Arabidopsis thaliana: one gene and its partner. The protein of the gene in region 2 interacts with the protein of the main gene of each other region in a pairwise test. Each region holds a gene or a part of one and is shown on either strand. Other genes may lie near its edges.

Region 1 (7,072 bases), on a different chromosome or scaffold from region 2:
TATGAAAAGTTCCAGAGAACCTTTGTAACTTTAGGTGGTTGCTACTTGCTTTACAACAGGTATTGGTCCAGAATCTTAACTTTATACAGCCTATGTCCCCGTCTCCGTCGCCATTTATGGTTATGTCATCATCTGAAAAGGAAGAAAGTGGTATCAAGAAGCAGCCTGGTATGTCTCATGTAACATTTCCAATGAACAATTTTCAATTGGCGCTTGTGTTAGGTCTGAGAAAGGCTCTTAGGGAGCTACTTTTTAATCTCTTGTGATGTATTTAATGAAAAATGTGTTTTCTTGTGAAATCTTTCTGGCATACATTTGTTTTCAATGCTCTGATTAATGGTTTGTTAAATGAGTCTCTAGCTAGAGCTAAGCAGGATATAGTCATTGATGAAGCTTCAGATTCTTGGAATCACCTCATTGAAAATCCTAAAGAATGGTGGGATCACCGGGAAAATAAAGTCAATGGATTGGTAAATGCCCCATGTGCTTAACTATTCATCCTTATCTCACTCGCAATCTTTTGATATGGTGTCTGCTAAATCTCTCTACTAGTTTTCTGACTTCTTGGTTTTTCTCCTACATAGGTAAAACCTAGGCATCCTGATTTCAAAAGCAAGGACAGTAGTTTTTCGCTGTGGCTCAATAAGGCTCCTAATTGGGTTTTGCCAAAACTCGAAGGACTCGAGTTCGATGTTCTAGTCCCTAAAGCCAGAGTTGTAAAACAACTTAAAGGTAAAGTTCCCAGTCATTTCCATGTTCCTATGCAACTATACAAAGAAAGTTGTTTACAGTTATGTGGCACTTGTTCAAGTATGTTTGTATAAACTGAAATCTGGGCTGATATGTGTAGGAGAAGAATCATGGAAGGACTTGGTTCAGAACCCAGATAAATGGTGGGACAATAGAATCGACAAGGTAGGATACCAATATCTTTTGCTCGGTTTTTCATCAATCTTTCCAAGAAACTGACCTATTGTCCCAATATCGTTTTTGTTTTGAAGAGAAATGCAAAAGCCCCTGATTTCAAGCACAAGGAGACAGGTGAAGCACTGTGGCTAAACGAGTCTCCTACTTGGGTATTACCGAAACTGCCACCAGTCAAGAAGAAACAAGAAAGTATTGTCTTTTAGCTTTAGAAACATTATCTCCATGTAAAGAGCTCCAAGTGTTTACAAAATTCATCATTTCTATTCAAAGTGGTCTTCAAAGTTCCGTTTGATTTTTGGTTAGTAGACTGAATACAGTAGCTACAAGTGTGGACGATTCCAAATGTCTCAGGTAAAGCAAGCATATTAGGTCTTAAAAGAACTTCTAGAAAGAGTGTTTCAATTTCACAAGCGCAACCAACAACGTTAACAAGCTCAACTTAAGAGAAAAAAGGACTAACTATTGTCTTACAAAGTAGAAAGATGACTAAATACTATTTACTGTAAAACTTAATAAAAGGCCTTTGACACTTCTCTCCTTATTCAGCTCAATTCACTGCAGCATGCTCTCTGTCTAGTACCTTCTTCCCTGTGGAAACTGAAACACAGGACCATCTCAGTAACAAATATGGGGAAAATGGGGTACTTTAATGCCTGATGAGGATATCAAAAAAGAAAGATGCAAGATTCATTATTGATCGAGATCTTACTTGGTCAGACCCGGGCTGGCCTGCTGGATTATTGTTGTTCCAGTCTCGATTCCTCTGATCTGCCTGTGGGAATGTCTGATTCTGCTCTTGTCCTGGTCCAGAATACCCCTGACCATAGCCAGGATTTCCAGCTCCAGGTGCAGGACCTAAGTTTCCAGCTCCAGATGCAGGACCAAAGTTTCCAGCTCCCTGTGGATTGTAATTCCTAGGTCCTCCTTGGTTGTAACCACCTTGTGGCCCTTGACTATAGTTCCCAGATCCACCTTGACCGTAACTGCTTTGTGTTCCTTGGTATGGAGGCACTGGAGATCCCTGGACTTGATTGTAACCTGCCTGATATGGAGGCACTGGAGATCCCTGGCCTTGATTGTAACCTGCCTGATATGGAGGTGGTGGAGATCTCGGGCCTTGGTTATAACCTCCTTGAAATGGTGGAGGCGCTTGAGTTCCCTGACCTTGTCCTGGAGTGGCATAGCCCTGTTGAGGACCATAGCTCCCTCCACCACCTTGCATTGGTGGTTGCTGACCATACTGTGTGTTTCTTTGGAAGTTTTGGGGACCACCACTTCCTCCTCCTGAACGGTCAAATCTAGGACGAGGTCTTGCTCTGCCACTCTGAATCGGTGGTGGCCTGTGTGTTATCACTCCATTCTCGTATTTATCTCCTGAAAACAAGAAACATAATTTTGTTGATAGAGTCCCAACAACAAATATCCAAAATAAGACCAGTTTGTAAAAAAAACCAGCTCACCTCCATACTCTTTGTTCTGGGGATCAATGTAGGAATCTGGCAAGATGAAAACCACTCCGGGTAGATCTGTTTACATATACCAATAACAGAGTCAATATCTGGTGAAAAAAGTTGAATTCAAAAGAAAACAAACATAAATGATTCGAACTATATACCCTTGAACTTTTCTGATTCTTGTTCAGTCATGATTGCTTGAAATCCTTGGTAAGTAGTTGTGCTACAAGCATACATCCTTTGCTTAGCCTCTTCCACGCTGACTCAACCATAAACACCAAAAATGAATCAATATAATCGTCTTAACCAATATCAATACCAGAAGAAGATACACAAAAATCAAAGCAGAGCTATATAACAGTGAATGGAACCCTAGCAATGGTAAAGTTCTCACATTTAAGTAACTTACTGAATGATTTTTGGACAATTTAGCCAAAAGCAACGAATCTAAGCAGTGACAAAAATTCATCTACTAACCTGATGCCAAGTCCTTGGGCGCAAGTTTCTTCATAAGCAGCGACCATTTCTTCTGGAGACTTAGGAGTTTCCTCTTTGGAGAAATCCATAGTGATAAGCCAGTGATTATAATCACATCCTTCGAACAACACAGTGTCTTCCGTGATCTCATCACCTTCTTTGTAAAGCTTGTACTGCCTCGTTGAAAACAGTCTCGCCGGTGCTCGAGTAGCTACTTCCGTCGAACGCCCTATAACGGATCTCTTTAACACCGCCGCCGACACAGAAGGGAAATCAGACGCTGGTGTGATCGAAGAGCTAATTGATCGGTTAACATAGGAAGTCGCAGTGAGTAAAGCTCGTCGGAGACGGTGAGATATCATAGCCATCGTTGCCAGAGAAATTATGAAGGAGTGGAGAGTATTCTGGAAAGCTTTGGAGAAATGAAATTAGGGTTTTTGTGTGGGTTTTACAATATCTAAATAAATAGTAAATTACTTTTTAAGTCCTTATTGTTTCAAATGTTTTTAGTTTCCGCCTAAAGTTTCAAATTTATCACTGGGCCAAAAAACTTAGGCCTTAGCTTTTTACTATACCGCTGTCGTTTTATAACTCTCTGTTTGTTTCTTCTTCTTCTCCCTCTCTATTTCCGGCGACTGTGAATTATGTGGTCGGCGACGTTATCTTTCCCTTCTTTTGTGGCTTCTTCATCTTCTCTACCTAATTACAGGAACCTTAGGTTTCCAAAGATTAAAGCTTCGCTCTTTAATTACCCTCTAGCGAGCAAAATCATGGTCAGAAGTAAGATTCAGATTATCTTTTGGTTTATATTTGAATTCGCTTCTAGCTGAGATTAGGACATGGTTCTGTTATTGTTCCAAAAGTAATTTATGATTCTGGTTTGATTGAAATTAGTTGATTTGAGTCAGGATTGTGACGGTAGTCATATGTGATAGCTCTAAGCTCTTGTAGCAATCATTAGTGAAGTTGAAGTTGGTTGTAACTTCAACTTGGTAATTACTCTACGGTTCTGATGTTTCTTCACTTTGAATTTGTAGATTTACCGTTTTCTACAAGTGAAGATTTTCTAAAGAGAGAGTTTTCAGCTTTTGGAGAGATAGCTGAAGGTATGTTTGCGGTTTCAATTTTACTCTGTTTTGTTGCTTTAAGGTTCAGTTTTATGGCATTGATATGTTCACTCTTATACTTCAAAACAGTTAAGCTTATCAAAGATGAGGCAATGAAGAGATCAAAAGGTTATGCTTTTATTCAATTCACGTCTCAAGATGATGCTTTTCTTGCCATAGAGACCATGGACCGTCGGGTAAAAGCTTCTTTCAATCACAAGTTTACATTTTTATGTCTTGAAATCAACCTAAATGTTTCCCATTCCTCTGTTGCAGATGTACAATGGCAGAATGATTTATATAGACATTGCGAAACCAGGTAAACGTGATTTCCAAGGACTGCCTAGGACTTCTGGTCCACCTGAGAAGTCGGATGAGCCAGAAGAAGCCGCTAATGATGAGGTTGCTGATTGCTGGTATTAGTTGTTAGTATCAAGCTCACCAAACTGTAACTGAACTTGTATAAATCAGATGTCAAATCATGCTTTCTTATTAGGAATATGATCAATGTGAAGAATGTTGTTTTACTGATAAGCAATTATTGACACGGTTCCAGTTACAGCTCTATCGGTTTCTACAACCACCATATTGTTGGAGACATTGGTCACTGCATTTGCAGGGATCTGTCCGGATTGAGCGAAAAACGAATGCTGGTAATGGTTTATCCGGTTAGGGAATACCAAAACAGGGGAAAAATCAGCGATCCATCGTGTTCCATTTGCGGAAACCATGGCCTTTCCGGTTGTTGATTTCAGCATCATCCCTTCTGCATTGTTTTGATCAATCACAACTTGATTAATATCATGAAACTCTCCTTCTAGCTTGACAATCGGGAAGTTGTTTTTGGCGGTACCGCTAAACATGTTGTTGACGATGTTTACACCGGAAATCTTCCCGTGTACCGATCTCAAGACGATGTTTGCATCTCCTAAGAACAAAGCATTGGTGACATGAACATGGACAGGGTCTTCTATGACTATACCTGTGTAATCAAGGTAACAATTATCTATCCTCGTTAAATGTGATTTCACTAGAATGCCAATGCCACCAAACCATGTAGCTTTATTGTAGCAATGCACACCCGTAACCATATTTGCACCACCATTCAAAGAGATACCGATACCAGCCGAGAAAATCACTACATCCGTAATGGCATTGTCGTTACTCGAGATATCGATTCCTGTCCCAGTAAATCCTCTTTCTTCTCTGTCTCCTCCTACCGTTGAATGTTGCCCCAAGAAGGAGTTTGAAATGTATGTCTCATGACCTCCTTGGACTTTAATCCCTTGCGTTGTGAAATGGAGGAAATAACAATTGGTTATACGGATACGAGCTGAGTCAATCACCAAAATACCACCTCCTCGGAATCTTGAGTCGAAGAGAACATCTTGGAAGGTCACATCCTCATAGAAGATCCCAGAGCTCTGGTCTTTCTGATCGGAGAAAGACTCCTCTGGCGACATTTTCATTGGTTTCTTAGCGTTTGATGCTACAAGCTCAACTAAATGCCTATCACCAGGAAACAGTTCTGATGCCCGGAAAGTCCCACCTTTCACCTGAATTACACCGAACAATGTCTTAAAAGACTCAAACCTTTTCATAAGTTTCTTAAGTCAAATTTTAAAATGAGGGACTAACCACAAGATTTCCGCCACCGGAGGAAGGGAACCTGAGAGGTTTTCCGATCATGTAACTGCCACCTTGGAGATCAATAACTAGACCACCTAAATCAGCGACACGTGGCAGCATCTCAAGTCCAGTTTGTAACTGAAAAGCATCAGTTAAAGCTTCAAGTATTGCGTCACTACTGTCTTGTCCACCTGTAGGGTCAGCTCCGTAACCAATCGGGTATATCACCTTCCCAACCTGCACAAACCAAACTCACACACGCTCACAAATCACACACACGTGCCTGTAATACATTAGAAACTGAACAAGAGGACTTTACCATTTTGGGAGAGTGAGAAGAAGGAGAAGACACTGGTGAGAGAGTGGGAGTGACTGCGAGTCTTTCTTGAATCTTCTCTTGGAGCTTTAAAAGCTTGGTCATGTCTCTTCTTAAGGATGATGTCTCTTTAAACTCCATTGAAATCGTGATGAGAAACAGTAACAACAAGCTAATGAAGCTATAGAGACTCATCTGATTTTTCTTGACTCTTGTCTTGTTCTTGAGTGTGTGAGAGAGAGAATTTCTTAGGAATGATTATGAAGAAGATGCAGGTAGATATGTGCGTGTGTGTATATGTATTAAAAGGCAAATAATCTCTGTTATTAAATTTTGGTTTATTTTTTCAATGTACACCGACTCGAGTTCCAATCTATTAAATAGAAACACTTTAGAAGTTTTTGCTTTATTCATAAGAAAATGCAAAAAGATCAAAGCATGTTCGTACGAACCGCTCAAGTTCAACAAAGAAAGATCAAAGTATTTGAAAATTTATTCCTAACTGGCCTAATATCAAAAGTATTATGTGAAGTATGAAAAATCATCAATAAAAATAAAATGATTACTTGACGAGAAAATAAAATCATTCGTTTTAGACTTTGTTTACAACACATCTTCAGGCTTTATTCGTCATAAAGTTTGCTTTTCTTTTTCATAAGTATTCATCATTCAATAAGAAAATGATACTTTTATTTTCACACTTTTTGATGCCAAAAAAAAAACTTACAGAATAAAGTATGTCGAAGACTTGAAGTAATACTGAAAATGGGGATTGAGTGTGGAAGTATAAATAAATTTTACTTTATGGCCAACATCTAAAATTTGAAAATACAGAGCATCAAAATCTCCTTAGATTATCTTTCATAAGCCACCAACTCTGTAGAAATTTAATTACATTAGGTAAAGCTTTATTTGATTCTAGTGTAATTTCAGATTAGTCATTGCATTGAATTTCTTCTTCAGACAACAAGTAAATGTCTGCCACCAAACTCTTCCACTGTAGTCACAATTTTCGAGTTTTTATCATTTATTAGCTGTATAAAAAATAAATTTCCCCCTTACAGGAAAAATTACAAATAAAAACCAACAAGTATAAATCATTTTATAAAATTATAAAACCATTAAACGGCAAAAACACGACATTAAACTCCTTGATTCACTGT
Region 2 (7,736 bases):
TCGATGACCATCTTATGACTGTTGGTTGCGGCGTACACAAGATCGTGATGAATACAATCCTAAGCCACAATATGCATTCATCTACCTGCGGAATTAAAACCGCCAGTTAAAATTGATCTGATACGACTTAGCTCATATATTAACCGATGATATCACAAGTTCGTTGTAACTAACTAACCTCAGACAGCGTAATTTTGGATTTAGTCTGTGTGCTTCCGCCGTAATTCTCCATTCTCTCAATCTCTAAACCCGAATCTTTCATAGCCATTAGTTCTTTTCTCAAATCTTCATCTGTGCAGCCGAGCGCATATGCATTCACACCAGCGGATATGAATTCCTGAAGATACACACACAAACAAATTAATGAAAGATGGATATACAATCGAGAAGAAAACAAGAATGACTCAAATAAAAAAAGGAAGTTACTTTTAAGGTTTCGCCTTCACCGCGTCCAATCACGGTCCTGTAACGTCTTAAAAGACTTATAGCTATGTTGGGTGATGAACGGTACTCATCATCCGATGAAATCGAGTTGTTGCGTGAGTTACAAAACTTGATGAAATCAAAAGAACAAACACAAAAAAACTTAGGAGCAGTATACAGATGGATGTATAACTTGCCGAAGAGACGAAAACTTTAATTACTAACCATCCATCTCCTTCGAGGCTGAATTTGATATTTTGTAGAAAAAGATGAATGATAACACTCTACATTGCTACAAGGAACTATTGATCTTGGGGAGACAGAACAACTAATCAGAGGACCAAAAGGCGAGGTCTTGAATCTGCGCAAAGCGGCATAGCAGCTAATAGGGATTTGGAATTTGTTGATAGTTCCCGCAGGATACGCAACTAACATTTCTTAACCATATCAATGAAGCAATGCCCTTATCTGCATAAGAGAGAAGCTTTTTTCTTTGAATAACACAACTATATTAGGAATTAAGATGTGTAAGAGTCTAAGATACATTGATGTTCTAGAAAAAAAAAATCAGCTTCCCTGTTCAAATTGAAAGTTGAAACCCTAATTTCATCTCTCAATTCATTCTTAGTCCTTAGAGATATCCATAAGTGGCAAAAAAGAAAACAAATTCAAATGATTTGGATTTGGAGATTAGCTAATATTGCGATCAGAAAATTTGTATTAGCTCAAGAAGAAAATCAAAACCTCTGATCTTTGGAAAGTGTCAAGAATCTCTTAATCATACTGGACCAATTCACAGATACTTACGATCATTTAAATACATCTGAGATTAAAAAGCAAGATATGAACAAAAAAAGGCTTACCTTTTTGAGAAATTCAGAGTCAGCAATTCATATGCAAACTTTTTGTGTGTTTTAATCGCTGCAAAGAATTGGATGAAGCACAAGCTACAAGTGTAAGAGGTGAATTTGAAGCCACCAATATTTTGAATGGCTGCAAAAAGAAAAACATCAAATTTTCAATCAATGTAGACAAAGATTCTTTTTATTTTATTTTTGGGCACTGGAAAAGAAAAACAGATAGAAGCAAACAAGAATCATGGGGATTCCCAAAACGATGTCGTTGGAATATGAGTCCAAATATGATGAAGAGAATTGAGAAAAGAGAGAACTTTCAAGAGTACCTTATCAATTTCTATCTCAATTCTGATCCCAAATCAATTTTTATGTTTAAGTAAACATAAATAAAGGCTGCTTTTTACGTTGAGGAGTCAACCCAACTGGATCCTCTTTCCTTCTTGATTCTTTTACTCTCCATGTTCATTCTCACTTGAGAAGCTTCGTCCCATAGTCCCATATCCGCATACATGTTATATAACAGTACATAAGGTGTTGAGCTCTCTGGTTCGAGTCTCGACATTGCTTCAGCTGCAACATGTGCAAGCCCTACATTGTTATATATCCTACAAGCATCCAATAATGCACCCCATACCGTTTTGTCTGGCTCAAAAGGCATACTCGTTATGATATACATGGCCTCTTCAAACTGCCCTTGTCCACTGGTAACGTTGACCAGGGAAGAATAATGTTCCATCTGCGGCTCGATCTTGTACACACTCATCATGGACACAAACTGTGCTTTAGCCTCATCAACAAGTCCCGCGTGAGCACAAGCGTTCAGAACTGAGACGAATGTTATGTGAGAAGGATATATCCCGTTGCTTTTCATCGACCCGAACAGATTCAAGGCCTCTGAGGCATTACCATGAAATGCATATCCTCCTATCATTGCATTCCATGTGATTACTTCTCTTTTGAGTTTCATTTCATCGAAGATTCTCCTCGACTCCATTATTTCACCGCATCTTGAATACATAGTGATAAGGGCATTGTGGACTGGAACATCGGGGATCACAGTCTTGACAACGATTTGGTGCATCTGCATTCCTAAACGCAGATTCACAAGCCCGGTAGATGCACTGAGAAGAGAAGTTAAAGTATGTGGGTCAGGCTTCTCTCCTTCAATGTTCATCCGGATAAACAAATCAACAGCTTCTTTGTAGTCCTTGTTTTTCTCATAAGCTGCTATTATCGAGTTCCACGAGACTGTATGTTTCTCAGGTGTTTTTTCAAAGTAGTGGCGAGCAAGCTCTACATTGCCAACACTAGCATAACCCGAGACCATCATGTTCCACGAATGTGCATCACGGTTCGGCATTTCCGAAAACAGAGCAAAAGCATCTTCCATCCTGGAAACATGTACGTATCCATCAATCATTGTGTTCCAAGAAATTGTATCGCGGTCTTTCATCTGATCAAATAGCAACCTTGCAGAGACCACATCACCCACTTTCAAGTAAGCTTTGATCATAGAATTCCATGACACAACATTTTTACAGAACCTCTCTCTAAACTCTCCACCATGATCATCACCACAGAGATCAGGAATCTGATCAAACAGACATCGAGCTGCTTCTACTTGTCCTCTCTGTCCATATCCAACAATCAAAGTGTTATAAGCATACACCAAATCTTCCCTTCCTGAAACTAAACTCCCATACTGACCCAAAACCCACGCAGCTTCTGAAAGTCTCTCGTTTTTAATAAGACCAGCCACAAGTGCACATAGAGGAGACGAATCCTTCACAGGCATTTTCCGAAACAACACAACCGCGCTATCCACTTCACCGTTCTGACAAAACCCAGTGATCATAGCACTCCATGACACTGCATTTCTCTCAGGCATTTTCTCAAATAACAACAACGCTTCACCTATCCTCCGATTCTTCGCATAACCACTAATCATAGTGTTCCATGAAAAAGAATCCCTTGAAGGCATTTCATCAAACAGCTTCCTTGCTTCCTCAAGAAACCTAATCCCACCACATGAAACATACCCCGAAATCATCGTGTTCCAAGTCACAACATCTCTCTTAGGCATTACGTCGAACAGTTTCCGTGCTTGATTCATTTCACGCCTTTTCACATACCCGCTTATCATCGTATTCCATGTCACTGTGTTCCTCGCTTCCAGTTTCTCAAAAATATCTCTAGCTTCGGCGATATACCCCGATCTTATCATCTGGTTTAACTCTTTGTTCGTCGCTCGAAAACCCAAGCTTGACGAAACTGAAGTAGAGAAAGAGTTTGCACATAATAAACACTTAAGACAAGACGATTGATACAACACCTTCCTGAAAATTAACAAGACACTTCGTGATCGGATCATCGTCGTCGCCGGCGAAATTTGCAGCGATCAAAAACTAAAAAAGCCTCTAGCTTTGAAAATTAGAGTCAGGTAAATTTGGTTCAGATGATGATGTAATGGACATTCTTCGGTTTACCATGTTTGAACCGGAAATCATTTGGTTCAATTCAGATAGTAAAATGTGTCTATTGTAAACCAAATTAGCCTCTGAGGCCTGACTCCTGAGATTTGGAAGAATCAGTCAGTGGAATGGAATTGATCAGTTGATTCTCACAGTCAGGTGAATTTTGATTTTACTGTGTTTAAACCGGTAATAACTCGGTTCAATTCAGCATTTCCGGTTTTATAGTATTTGAACCGGGTTTGATATCAGGTCAGATAGTAATTAGAGTAGAAATTTCTACAAATTGTATTACATAGTAGTCTGTAGTTGGTTGATCTTCCAACTGAAATTTTTTATCCAGCTAGTTTTGTAACTACTTTTACATACATTATTTTATGGGTAATTAGCTTTGGTTTACAAGTTTCGCCATACACGATGTTTATTTGTCTTTTGGACCAGTAGAAGACCAGAGGACATGATCACGTCTAAGTAATCTTTTGCTATTTGCTGCTGTCAGTAACATCACACTGATGAATATCAAAACTGACATGGATGAGAAGATAAACATCAAGACCGAAGCGACATGGTCTTTCACCTCTTGCGCGTACTGAACCGAGTTTAAAGCGAGAAATGTGATAGGAAACGAGTAAGCCCACCATGCGACATTGAATCTTTTTATCGACTTCTTCAAAAGATTTGGCCTACAAACCTGAAAATGTATAAGAAAAAGAATGTAAAAATGTCGGTTTTCGGTTTCTTGGTGTATCGTAAAGATGTAAACTTACCAGAGATATGAAGATGAAGAGTGAAAGGAAGAATAACATCTTGGCTATAGTATCAAAGTTTCCACAAATAGAGTTCCAAGCTAGACTTGCTGTGGCGGGTGCAGCGAAAAACAAGAAGAAAACCGGTCTTAGCGTGGTTGGGAAATTGTTTCCGCCTGGTAAGCGTTGATAAAGTGTAACAAAGATGACCAAATAGTGAACCATTCCAAGTGAGAATAAGCATAGAGCACACTCTTTCCAACCCATCTCTGCTGCTCCCCGCGCAGCCACTAGGTTTGCGATTACCGATACTTGGCTTGCCGGGTTTGCCATTATCGATAAAAACCTTTTCTCTGTTGTGAACCATTGACCATAAAGCTTTGTGTCTAAAGTCAAGACTGGAACAGCAAAGATCCAGAATAGTGTCTGATATAAAACGCTGTGTGGTTCTATCATAGGAGCTGATTGAAGCAATAGAAGACATGAAATGGATGGAGCGTAAAGATAGTTCACTCCAATATAGTGCGAGAACTCTTCCTTCACCATGTCAAAGAGAAAAATACACTTGAAGGCATACAAAAAACAGAGTGATACTTGTGTTGCAAGTGCTAGGTACCACAGGAGATAATACGCCATAGACGGGAGTTCGCTATGCAAATGCACCATAATCTTCCACAACAATGCTTGGCTACATAGAGAAAGGCTTATTCTGAAATATCCCGCATGGAGACTACTCAAAACAGACATCAGGACAATGGGTTCGGCATCTGCGAGGTTAGTCTTTCTCTCTTTGCGCCTCGATATTGTGTTATCAATCATGATGTGAATTTCTTGACTAGGTATTTCCATCTCGGTATATCGATGAAATAGAGCTTATTTTGCTCTATGTTGTGCTAACCTATAAAAAAAAGAATTCATGTACATAAGCATAAGGCAGAGAAATCAAAAGTACAAAACACAAGTTAGTGTTGGACATTCAGAAACTTTTGGTAAGTTCAATAACTTGTACAGTACATATATACATATCAACATCTTTTTCTTTTTTCTTTCGACATCAACACTTTTTTTTTCTTTTGATGAAGCGAAAATTCTTCTTCAAGCTTCATGAATAAACATCAAACCATTTCAATTGCTTATATCATCATAAATTCTTTCAGCTGATTTATAACTTTAAGTATTAGTTCCTTATAATTCATACAAAGTACTAAATGAAATATAGCTTATATAATTTAAATAAACCTGGATAATTTGCAGCGAAACGATTTAAAAATTGTTTTAATACTTCAACTGTCTGTGCTTCGCCAGTGTCTGCACACAGATTGTGGTATACTAATGTCGCCTAGATTCCTGAACTGTCTTCGGATTCTGGGTTGTCGTCTTAGATCCCCATTTCATCTATAAGACTATAACCAACGTTGACCATGAGCCCTTCTCAATAAGGGAGAGGAGATAATAATGTTGCCTTACGTAAAGATTCCTTATATAAAGAATTTATGTGATCCTAATATCCCTTTTTACTACGTCACGACGGCTATACAATTGTTTTTTTTTACATACAATTGTATACTATATACAATTGTTATATTTAGAAAATCTTTATAATTAACCTTAAAAACAAGTTTAATGTCGTTGGTTGACAAAAAGATGAAAAAGAAATTATAAGCAAAGACATACGATTAGATTTTTTTTTATTTTAGTAAGATGATTCCCAAAAGAAAGATATTTTCCTCAAAATATCCATTTGGTAAATGAACGATGGTAAACAATCTATATTTGTCAAACAAGTTGTAAACAAATATTTCAATTATATATCTATTAAATTTGTATGTTTCAACTTTCAACAGATTCGTTTCTTTCTTATTGGTCTCCAACAAAACAATTCAAATTTGGAAATGTGCTACCAATCAAAATCCTAAGCTTCACAGGTCTCAATCAAGTGAAAACAATTTTTTTAATTTTTTTTTACCCAACAAAAAAAAGTCGTTCTCACTTAGATTGGAACCTGCAAGCTACAAAAAAGCCGCTTAAAACATCTCCAACCCATCTTTATTATTATTTCTATACTCTATTTTTGTCTTTATTTATCTCTAAAATAGAGATTTTAATTTTTTTTCCTAACAAATAGAGACAACCATTGAAAATGGTCTAATGGATTTGTTGTAAGGTCTAATAATTATGGACTATTTTTTATTTTGAAGATTATTTTGCCAATATTTTAGAAAAAATTGGGTGAATTTATCACATTCTTAAGAAATATTATAAATTAATACTCGTAAAAAACTTTAAACGGCAATTTTAAAACTAATTCCGTAATTCGATTACTGTAGCATTTGGTTTCGGTGAGACTTTTGTGGAAAAAATAACTTAATAATGTCATTTTAAGTCGGGATCAGTTTTATACGCATTCATGATTAGTTTAACAATATCCAAACAAACGAACAACAAAATATCTAAAATATATTCTTCTTTTTTTTCCTTACATAGTCAAAAGCAATCTTTATGTGGATTTTTTTTGTTTGGTTTACTTCCAAAGGTATCTAATATAAAGCTAAAAAGAAGAGAGAGTACCGAGTCTTGCTAGTGAAAAGGATAAACGATGACAAATGATGCATTGGAAAAAATGGAGGCCGGTGGAGTGGTGATGGCAAAAGTGGATTGGTGTAACGAACGTAGAAAATTTTGGAAAATAACATTGTTTTTATCCATAGCGGTTATGGCAATATCTCTGTTGGTATTTTGCAAGAGAGGAAAACCCAACAATATGGAAGACTCAACTGAATATGCAATAATATTCACTGCTAAGTATCTTATAATACAGTATGCAGTGTTCGGTGCATCGATCAAAGTAGAGGAGATGTGGGGTTGGATGCCATCCTCCTCTAGTCCTCCTCCAGAAGAGTGTAGTCCTGCTGAAAGAGCGTGGTCGGAACTGGCATTTGTGGTGTTTATCTGTGTTATGACACTCGGGTTGGGAAAAGTTGTGGAGGTTTTCTTCTTTACCATGTCGTCCATCATTGGCCTCATTGCAATTTCCCATCTTTTTTATCCAACGCCTGACCATAAATTTGAAATGGTGATGAAACATTTTTGGTTCATTGTTGGCTTAGGGATAGTAATGGGATTAATTTGTCTAATTCCTAATCTCTTCTTCTTCCTTGGCTGGTTCTCTATATTTGTTTTGATATACGTTTTTATTGTCCATTGTAATTTCCCTGACAAGACTCTTGTTGAAGTGTTCT

Evidence for each region.
Region 1: the proteins of MEF9 (region 2) and MORF1 interact in a two-hybrid assay, tested with the Arabidopsis thaliana proteins (one study listed by BioGRID).

What each region holds. Positions count from the first base shown.
Region 1 is NC_003075.7:10,842,860-10,849,931, forward strand, and holds MORF1 (multiple organellar RNA editing factor), read right to left. Parts: upstream 3,289-7,072; 5' UTR 3,227-3,288; coding exon 2,859-3,226; intron 2,641-2,858; coding exon 2,543-2,640; intron 2,454-2,542; coding exon 2,388-2,453; intron 2,302-2,387; coding exon 1,574-2,301; 3' UTR 1,543-1,573; downstream 1-1,542. Other genes in the region: PTAC9 (plastid transcriptionally active 9), read left to right, coding at 60-172, 365-470, 585-732, 851-915, 1,002-1,130; AT4G20030 (RNA-binding (RRM/RBD/RNP motifs) family protein), read left to right, coding at 3,503-3,638, 3,896-3,964, 4,055-4,161, 4,241-4,387; AT4G20040 (Pectin lyase-like superfamily protein), read right to left, coding at 4,489-5,520, 5,603-5,830, 5,913-6,104; QRT3 (Pectin lyase-like superfamily protein), read right to left, coding at 7,052-7,072. UniProt on the Arabidopsis thaliana protein: Involved in organellar RNA editing. Required for the processing of numerous RNA editing sites in mitochondria. Binds to the mitochondrial MEF19 and MEF21 factors, two pentatricopeptide repeat-containing proteins involved in RNA editing.
Region 2 is NC_003070.9:22,996,146-23,003,881, forward strand, and holds MEF9 (mitochondrial editing factor 9), read right to left. Parts: upstream 3,685-7,736; 5' UTR 3,652-3,684; coding exon 1,681-3,651; 3' UTR 1,610-1,680; downstream 1-1,609. Other genes in the region: AT1G62250 (orotidine 5'-phosphate decarboxylase), read right to left, coding at 1-85, 179-337, 427-552, 649-858; SLAH4 (SLAC1 homologue 4), read right to left, coding at 4,173-4,442, 4,519-5,346.